Rattus norvegicus: one gene and its partners. The protein of the gene in region 3 purifies or fractionates together with the protein of the main gene of each other region. This does not show direct contact. Links are inferred from orthologs where the notes say so. Each region holds a gene or a part of one and is shown on either strand. Other genes may lie near its edges.

The links.
Region 1: the proteins of Rhod (region 3) and Diaph2 purify together in Homo sapiens (co-immunoprecipitation; 3 studies listed by BioGRID and IntAct, with this or other methods). This does not show direct contact. The link is inferred for Rattus norvegicus from reciprocal best matches to the Homo sapiens genes RHOD and DIAPH2.
Region 2: the proteins of Rhod (region 3) and Daam1 purify together in Homo sapiens (affinity purification with mass spectrometry; 3 studies listed by BioGRID and IntAct, counting the BioPlex papers as one, with this or other methods). This does not show direct contact. The link is inferred for Rattus norvegicus from reciprocal best matches to the Homo sapiens genes RHOD and DAAM1.

What each region holds. Positions count from the first base shown.
Region 1 is NC_086039.1:96,941,692-96,945,351, forward strand, and holds part of Diaph2 (protein diaphanous homolog 2), read left to right. Parts: intron 1-2,318; coding exon 2,319-2,437; intron 2,438-3,660. UniProt on the Homo sapiens protein: Could be involved in oogenesis. Involved in the regulation of endosome dynamics.
Region 2 is NC_086024.1:96,181,624-96,185,383, reverse strand, and holds the start of Daam1 (disheveled-associated activator of morphogenesis 1), read right to left. Parts: upstream 2,404-3,760; 5' UTR 2,110-2,403; intron 1-2,109. UniProt on the Homo sapiens protein: Binds to disheveled (Dvl) and Rho, and mediates Wnt-induced Dvl-Rho complex formation. May play a role as a scaffolding protein to recruit Rho-GDP and Rho-GEF, thereby enhancing Rho-GTP formation. Can direct nucleation and elongation of new actin filaments.
Region 3 is NC_086019.1:211,137,547-211,139,924, forward strand, and holds the end of Rhod (rho-related GTP-binding protein RhoD), read right to left. Parts: intron 2,033-2,378; coding exon 1,898-2,032; intron 1,508-1,897; coding exon 1,340-1,507; 3' UTR 580-1,339; downstream 1-579. UniProt on the Homo sapiens protein: Involved in endosome dynamics. May coordinate membrane transport with the function of the cytoskeleton. Involved in the internalization and trafficking of activated tyrosine kinase receptors such as PDGFRB.

The DNA of each region.
Region 1 (3,660 bases), on a different chromosome or scaffold from region 3:
CATTGGTTCGTTTGTATTATTGTCTTAACCTTGTCTTCCATCCTTGATAATTATTCCTTGGCTCAGTTTCTTTTACTGATTTTGTTCTATAGTGTAGGGTTATTATTATTGTTATTATTATTATTACTATTATCATTATTATTATTGATATCATTCATAAGTAACACTCTGACACCTTTCCTACATTTTAGTTGTTTTGATATTTCTGTTTTTGAAGAAATTGTGAGTTTAATGAAAATGAGATAAACACTTGTTTATCAACCTTTAAAAAATGTAATACCTTTAAATTTAGGAAATATTATTGTATATATTTTAGTTTTTGTCAAAGAAAATGAATATGATAATAACCAAGTTTTGAGTTTTATAATAGATTCTGTCTATATATTAAACCTAGAAACTTTAAAAATAACAGGTTTATGAGTAGACTGAAATTATCTATAAGCTCATGACCATGGTCTTAATGTTAATGACAGTGCAAGCTATTCATAATTGCTTTATACTATTATTATGGCTACTGGGTTCTTTGAATTCTCACAACTTGCTGTAATAATTTAAAAAGGACTGCTACCAGAATAGTATTGGCAATAAAATTTGACAATTCTAAAATACCATATTGGATTTTTTTGCTTCAGGCTTATACAATGATTTGATCTTCATTATGATGTCGCGGAGACAGAAAAATGTTTAAAGAACTAATCCATACCTTCTAAAAATCACTATAAGTAGTAATACATCATAATGGAGATACAGTGGTCATACTTATTCAGGTTTCTGGTAATATGATTGGTGAAGAATTATGTATTTCCTGGAAATGTTAATGAACCACAAATGATTCATACATGACATATTTTGAAAAAAAATTGTTTGTGTCTGTGTGTAGTCTGTATGGCAGTAGGTTTTTGTGTGTAAGTATGTTTGTCTACAGTATGTGTTTAGATATGTTCTTGTGAATGCAGACAGAGGCAAGGGGTCAAATTGGTTATTATGCTCTACATTTTCTGTGAAATTATCTTGTGAAAATGTCTTTCTCACTGAAACTGGAGGAATGCTGATAAGTTCCTCTAGTCTTCCTGTCAACACCGCAGGCAGATCTGGGTTTACAGATGTGCATCATCACCATCCCTGGCTTTTTACATCCTCCTCATTTGCACCCTATTCTATACAGCTAGTACTCTAATTCACTGAGCTATTGCTGTAGCCCATACAATCTTTTCCTCCTTATAATATTCTTGGGTGGAGGTATACCATGTACTTTTATTTCACCTATTAGATGAAAGGAAGTGTTCTGTTGTTCTTAGTTATTCACAGAGTGAAGTTAAGACTAATATATCCCGGGCTCTGATGATGGTGTTTGAAAGCCTAAAGGCACAATGCACAATGCATATTTCTTTTCATTCTTAATCTTAGTAACAGCCATTAAATACACGGAAGATTAATTAGAGTCTGTTTTATATATTTTCAAGTTTTTAGTACTTTGACAAGCTATATTTAGAGATGTTTATATCATAATTTGTGTTACATAATATCTCTCTGAAGTGCTGTTGAATTTATTAGCACATGACGATTTGTCTTCTGCAAATTTTAATGCAAAATGTCCCTTATTTTTATTTTTCCAGTCAGTGGTCATTTTTAAAGCCAAAATTACCTTGGGAGATTACAGAAAAATGGTGTGTTTTAAAACCTTTGACACATCACACAAATTGCAACTGTAGCTATGCATATTAAATGCATATGATTTTATAAAACAGATATTTTTTAGAAATATTCTGCTTACATAGGTCTTCATATTAGTCTTTAAAAGAAATGACTCAGCCCAGTTTTATAAGCTCGTGTGACTGTCCTGAGTAAATGTTCTGCACTGAATTCAAGACATTGCTTGCTACCCAAGGCCAAGAAACATATTTTTTTTTTGAAAAGGACAACTTGTAGCTGTTTATAACTGTTTCTGTGCTCATAGATTTAGTATTAAGGAATCACTTAACTTTCATTAACTTTAGCAACAATACCTTAAATAGATAGATAAGGTGGATAAGTATTTTCGAACACAAGCTTCAATCCCTGCAAACTAGAATATTAAGTCTGTACATACTTTCAATCAATTACATCACACTCAATTTGGCCCCCTAATGTTAAGAGTGCCTTTAAGCCTTAGTCATATTTTCTGTCCAAAGAAGTGTAAATATTAGTGGAATTATTTCCTTCTTGGCGCTAGTGGAAAAAAAAAAAACCTGAGTTCTTTTTGCATTCTGAATTCCTTCATAAGAAAATTGATTGATGCAAGTAGAAAAACGTTCTCAAATATTTTCTCCTTTGTACAGGCCACAGTATTATAAAATAATTGAGGAGTGTGTTTCACAGATAGTGCTGCACTGCAGTGGCATGGATCCAGACTTCAAGTACAGGCAACGCATAGACTTTGATTTCACTCATCTCATAGGTATGGGTTATGCTCTTCGCTGTCATTCATGTCTCACGCCTTCTGCCTCCTGAGCACTTTTTTACTGGATATTTTATGTATTTACATTTCAAATATTATTCCCAATGGAGGAGTTAGAAAAAGGAGAGGGAGCTGAAGGAGTTTGCAACCTCATAGACAACCGGACACCCTAGAGCTCCCAGGAACTAAACCACCAACCAAAGGGTACATATGGAGGAAACCATGACTCCAGCTGCATATGTAGCTTTTTGGGCATCAGTGAGAGGAGAGACCCTTGGTCCTATGAAGGCTTGATGCCCCAGAGTAGGGGAATGCCAGGGCAGGGAGGCAGGAGTGGGTGGGTGGGTGAGGGAGCACCCTCACAGAAGTGGAGGAGGGAGGATGGGATAGAGGGTTCATGGAGGGGTTAACATTTGAAATGTAAATAAATAAAATATCTAATAAAAAGAAAAAGTAATAATTCTTAAAAATTCTTATATGTTTAGTTATATATTTAGTTATTTTAGCTTAGTTTTCCCTCACTAGGTTCTTTTTCTGAAATGTAATATAAGTAGCACCACATAGCACATATTCTCTGTGTTTGTGTTTTTACATGAAGAATAATTTTGAGATTCATTTCTGTTTTTTTCATGTCTTGATTTTTATCCGTTGATATTGTGAAATAGTATTCATGTAAGAATATAATATAATTCATGTTTCTTGGTGGTCAGTTGCATTCTCCCAGAGTTCAACTGTTGCAATAAAGCTGTTCTGTATCATTTGTATAGAACTGCAACTCCGACATAAGTTTCAATTTCCTTTGGAGAAATATTGGGTTAATGTAGAAACATTAGACTCAAAATGTGTTTTTCATCATGTTTATTAACTAGATTCTTACAATTGTAAGTTTTTTCTTTTTGTACACGATGCATTTTGTTTCAGATCAGAAGTTAAGTAAAATATTTTACTGGAAAACTTAAACTGATGAATGTCTCTGCACTTTCCTCCCCCAGCTTTTTAGCAGATCATTTTGAAATTTTATTATCTTAAACATGGAGTTTTTTACCACCTCTGTCAACAAAATAATGTGTATTTTTTAAAAGAATTATGTAGTGTTAAAAGTTGAATTATAATTGAAGACTTTCAGTGCAGTGATAATTTCATCAAAAAATATTTTGGATGGTTGAGTATTTTTGCTTTAACCCTAAAGAAAGAAATCATGATAGGATATGTACATTATAGTA
Region 2 (3,760 bases), on a different chromosome or scaffold from region 3:
TTCAGTGCTCCGCACCGGATCTCAGCCCAATTTCCCTGTGTTTTCTGTCTTGTTACTCATGCCCTACTTTATTCACAGGCCACTCTTCATGTCCCCCGATATCTTGTACTCCTCTCAGTTTCTTGTCCCTTGTTCTCATGACTTTTGTCAACATCTTTCCACCCTGTTCCAGAGCAATTAGGCAGTGAGACACATCTGTGATGGGCAGATGGCAGCTGGAATCTGGCTCGGCATATTTTAAAGCAACTCATCAAAGCCTTAAAACAGGTACACATTCTGACCTAGTATTTCTGCTTCTGGGAATATAGAATATATCCTTAAATGTTCAGAGACACAAAGATGTTTACACACACACACACACACACACACACACAACCATTATCTAAACAGCCAAAAAACAGAAACACTTAATAAGTGACAATGATGGAAATCACCTAAAACACATTATTATAGTACAAAGATGGTGGGTCACAGTGGCCCCTATGTGAGAAGATACTCAGTGACACGGTCATAACTATAGATTTGTAGTATCACATATTTATTTTAAAAATCCACATGGATGAGCATAAGAAGGATCAAAGAAATTTATCGAAACATGAGTAGCAGTTGGCTCTGTGGCGTGTGTGGTCACTTTGGACTTTTAAGACATAGAGCCTCTAGTGTACCCCACATCGTTACAATAAAGACGTGCTATTTTCACCATTAATGAAAAGAGGGTTTTTTTTTTTAAGAAAAAATTGATGCAATTATTTACTGGCTTTAGAAGAGGGACATGAGTGTTAAAAAAAAAATGCCTGTTAAAAAGACTCAAAACAGATGTGTCAGGTCCCAAATTCCTCCCCTAGCACTTCTAAAAGAACCAAGAAGAGGAAGAAATTAACCAAGGTATGGTGATGTGGACAACTAGCTTGCCAGAACTCCTGTGGGAAGGACTGGTTGTTTCCCCTGTAATCTGTTGCAAATGGATTTTTTTATATATATAATATATAGCACAGATATCTCAAATCAACTATGAAGGCTCTAGCTTGGTATTTCTCAATCTGTGGGTCAGGACCCCTTTGGGGGTCCTGCATTTCTGATATTTACAATACGATTCAAAGCAGTATCAAATTACAGTTATGAACTAGCAACCATAATTTTATGGTTGGGGTCATCACAACATGAGGAACTGTATTAAAGGATTGCAGCATTAGGAAGGTTGAGAACCACTATGCCAGCCAATCTCTCGTCTTGTACTCCACACAGGTAGGCAGTTGGTGCACACTAGGTCAAGGGATCTCATTAAACTACAACTCTTGGTGTTTGTCTTTAGTCTGTGTCAAAATGGTAGGAACCACAATGTCTTTGGAAGCCAGGTCAGTGTCCTGCGGAGCCTGTTAACAGTAAATAAGATTATTCAGGTCAAGGTCTGTATGGTGGGTGGAGTACTTAGACTTCTGGGAAATAAAGGCAAGAAAATGAAATAGATAGAAATATGCACAGGGTAGCACCTGGAAGGTCCTAAGGTTCCCACCCGGGCTTCGAGGTTGAGAAGTTTACACACATCTTCCAGGCAGTCTTGCTAAATACCCAGCTAGACTTGTCTGAACCGTCATAGCATTTCAGGATGCCACGACTGACAGTTACAGTAATTTGTGATATTGATCTTTCTCCCCTCTTTGAAGAGTCTATTCCATGAGGACAAAGACCCAAGGCGAGTGCTGCTTAATGCCTCACACACAGACCACCCAAACATTTTGGGACAGAGGTTTTCCTTTGCGTTTTCTATGTTGATTTACATAACTCAGGCTACACAGCATTCTGGTCATATTGAAGGACCAGGAGATAGTGTTAGGACCTAAACTTCAGTCCAAGACAGTTTCCAAATTTTAAAAGGAAAACACCACCTATAAATATTAGAGTATGACGGGGTGACTAATCCTAACATGGGCAATAAGTTGCAGTCTACAACAGGTCAGAACCTGATTGAAATAATTTTAGTATAGAGCACTACTTTGCCTTGACGGCAATTTGTGCTTAGCTTCAGTAAAGCCCAAAGGTCAAGATTTCCTCACTGGAAAGCCAGTTCCTCACTGGAACCACAACTGATTAAATGCATCTTTAAATTACCCATGATGCACAGAGATAGCTGAGATGTCCAACTGGCAGCCAGTTCATCCACATATTTGGATGGCCACTTCTCAGAGCCGCATCCCCAGATACAGATCAAAACAGGAAGTTAAAGCAATCATCCACTTGACCTCTCAGGCAGGAGCCACTTGCACAGGCTCTCTCCCCCTCAAGCACTTCACTGAGCACAGATCCAACTGCTTCTCCAAGCACGTCACACCCAGAACCTTTTCCCGTCACCTCTGGAAAGATGAAGCTGAGGAGGCCGGAGCCACTGGAGAAGCTTGAGGAAGAGTTGGTTTGCTGGTAAAGCAAAGGTGTTCACACAGGAAAATCTGGCCGGCAGGGAGTGAGGTGTGGGATGTGCAGAGAGAAGTCGGGGAAGTTGCTTGCTCTGTCAGGCTGGATCCCAGGCTCCACCCTCTCCAACGTCAGGGTATTGGCCTGAGGCAGCCACCTTTCACCTCCCAACAGGATGATTTCAATAGTTTCTTCTCTCTGGCCCTTCGTGTTCAGGCCAGATGGTAGACCTTTCCTGTGCATGGCCAGACAGTAAATGCTGTAAGCGCTGTAGAAAATTTGGCCTCTGCTACAAACACTGAGTGCTGCCATTTTCCAACAGAAGCAGCCACAGACATATGTAAACATGGTGAGCCCACGTTCTAATAACACTCCACTCTAGAAAGTGAAACATGAACTTCATGTAAGGTTATAACGCCCAAGGCTGGGGATGCAAGTCAGTTGGGGCAATGCAGACTAACATGGGCAAAACTCAGGGTTTCATTCCAGCACCATGGAAAATGAGATCTGGTAGTGTACACCTGAAACCCCAGCACTAGGGAAGTACAAGCAGGAAAATCAGAAGGTCCAGGACAATGAACCACAACGCGGTGAGTTCAAGACCAGTCTCAGCTACGTGAGACCCTCTCTCAAAACAAAGATTTTTAAAAACTCTAAAGATGTTTTAGCATATCCACAAACAGTATTTTTAAAACTTTTTTGCTACCATCAAATATGTGAAAACCATTCTTAGTTCACAGAACAAAAAAGGAAGGTGGTCTGCCCAGGCAGGCCCTGGACCGCAGGCTAACGAGCTGTGATGCACCGTTGAAGGCACGCACTTCATCTACTGAGCTGATCCAAACAGTGCTCAGGAAGGCCTCACCTGATGAGTGACATTTACCTGAGACCTAAAGGATAAAGTAGGAGAAAAATGTCAGTAGAAAGGTTTCCAGACTGGAGGAGTGTGTGCACTGGCCTGGATCAGGGAGGTGACAGGCACAACTGAGTCAGGGAGAAGCCCAGGATGTGAGTAATGAGAGCTGGTGAGGGCAGAGGCCCAAACTCAGATGGCTCACACGCTGCAATGCCAGCCCCGGCCGACTGGATTTTCCTGCCCTCATCATCCGACTTCCCAAACACTGCGTAAGCTTAGGCCAACCACAAGTGGACACATGCCGCCATCAGTCCTTCGTAGTAGTTGCATGGCTGAGCCCATAGATTATTAGACTAGGCTGTTTTCCTTTTTAGGTGCACATATGTGCACACACAGGACAACTTTCAGGGATTGGTTCTCTCCATCTCCCATGGGTTCCAGGGCTTGAACTCAAGTCATCAGTAACAGCAGTGAGTGAATGTCTTTATCTTCTGG
Region 3 (2,378 bases):
CATGGGCCACCACCACTGGCTTGATTTTATATTTTATGGTGTGTATGTTTTGTCTGACGTTTTGTGCCTGAGGTAGAAGAGGGCACTGAATCCCACAGAACAGAAATTACAGGTGACTGTGCACTGCCACGCGGGTGCTGGGAACCAATCCTAGGTCCTTTGGAAGACAAGCCAGTACTCTTGATCACTAGCCTCTATCCTAAAATTTTTTTTAAATTATACTTTAGTTTTACTGTGTGTGTGTGGGTGGGTTTATACTAAGGTATGTGCATGAAGTCAGAGGTCAATGCAGGAGTCAATTTTTTCCTACCATATGGATCCCAAGGAACTCAAGTCGTGGTGGCAAGTACCTTTATCTGAACCACCTCATCAACCCCACATCCTGCTCTTTGTGTGGGTTCTTGGAATTGAATTTAGGTTGTTTGGTTTATGTGGTGGCCCCTGAGAAGCACCACTGCACTATCTCCCTCTGTGTTGTGTGTGTCTCACTGGTTCTGTTTCTGGAGAAATCTATTAACATAGTAGACAAATGAGAGAACACACCGTTGATGCCAGGCACCTGCTAAGCTCTGCATATGCAGTCCTCATGACTTTTGCTCATGCTTTGCTCATGCTTGACGTAATTTTTTTTCTTTTTTTTCTTTTTTTCGGAGCTGGGGACCGAACCTGGGGACCGAACCCAGGGCCTTGCGCTTGCTAGGCAAGCGCTCTACCACTGAGCTAAATCCCCAACCCCGTTTCTGATTGGCCATTTTACAGATGAGGCTGAGGCCTAGAACTTTGTCAAGGTCTTGGAAGTGATAAAGTAAGGTTTGGATCCTAACAGTTCCACCCTAGGGTCTAGGTGGGCTCTTTCCTACCTAGTAGGATGCAAAAATGCTTTGAAGCAAGAGTCAGGACACTAAGAACAAGTGATGCCATTTTAGTTGTTACACTTATCAATGGGATGAAGAGGATGATCAGGGACACGGCAGGGCAGCGTGTTAGCCTGGGCAGGTTGGTCTCAGGAACCCTGGGTCCTGTAGATATATTATAACTCAGAGAATAGCCACAAGGTGGCGCCAAATCAGACCACACAGACCTCCCACTCATGATGCAGGTCCAGGATTGGGCACAGGGAGTCTGTTAATGGTTCCAGAGCTAAGGGTCTGGGAACCCTCTTCCTCAATCCAGGATTCCTCTGTCCAGGGGCCAGGCCTCAGTGGAGTCCATCTGTGGCTGTGTGGTTCTACCAGTTCAGCCTGGGGACTAGGTCCATCCCAGTCAACAGAGTAGAAGGTCTGCTCCTGGGTCTTTCTCCAGCTGAGTAAATCGGAAGGCAAGGTGAGTTCCAAACCAGTCAGGTGACCACGCAAAAATTCTGGGTAATCCGCCGCCAGAAGTTATGACTGCGACTGCTGAGAGCCACTTCAGCTGCTTCCTGGAAGACGGCTTCCACGTTGTCATGGAGCCGAGCTGAACACTCGAGATAGGCCACTGCTCCCACAGACCTTGCCATATCATGGCCCTGCCAAAGAGCAGTGGGAGTTACTATGAGTTTGGGATGTGGGGTGAAACTCACACTTGGTCTTGCTGTAGCCCTTCTGACTGTGCCAGGAGTCTTGAGGACAATAGTAGGAAGCGGGGCTTCTCTAGGGCACCCTCAGTGGGTAACTAATCCATGTATTGCAAAGAAGGGTCGAAAATAACATGGACCTTGGTCTCATTTGTGCTATACATATTACTTATCTGTCCTGTCAGAACTCCTTGAGTATTCTGGGTTCTGTTTCCAAGTGCTGACCCTTCCTGACTGCTGACGCCCTCCAAGACCCTGAGTGCTAAATGCCTGGCATAGCAGAGAGGTGTCCTGAGGTTCCCTCCCCAAATGCCTCTCATCCACAGCTAGCTTCCTACCTACCCTGTGGTAGGTCACCGGCTCCAGTCTTTTCTTCCGAAGTGTGTTCACCAGCACCTTGTCCTTACGCAGGTCTATCTTGCAGCCCACAACAATAATGGGCACCCCCTTGCAGAAATGGGTCACCTCTGGGTACCACTGCAAGGAAAAGGGTTGTGTGTGAGTCACTGGGGTTCTGACCTTCAGTGAGAAACTCTTTGCTCTATCAGTGTACTCAGTACAGGTTCTCACTGAAAATTCCCCATGCTCTAATTCGGGATGTAGCTCAGTTGGTAGAGTGCTTGCTTAGCATGCACAAAGCCCTGGGTTAGATCTATGGCACCGAATAAACCAGACCTGTAATTGCAGCATTTGGGAAGTGAAGCCAGGAAGACTAGAAATTCAAGACCATCCTCAACTACAAAGGCCTAAGACAGTGGCTCAAGGAAACAGAAATGTGTAAATAATAATTTCCTTTTTTTTTTTCCTTCTAAGACAGAGTTTC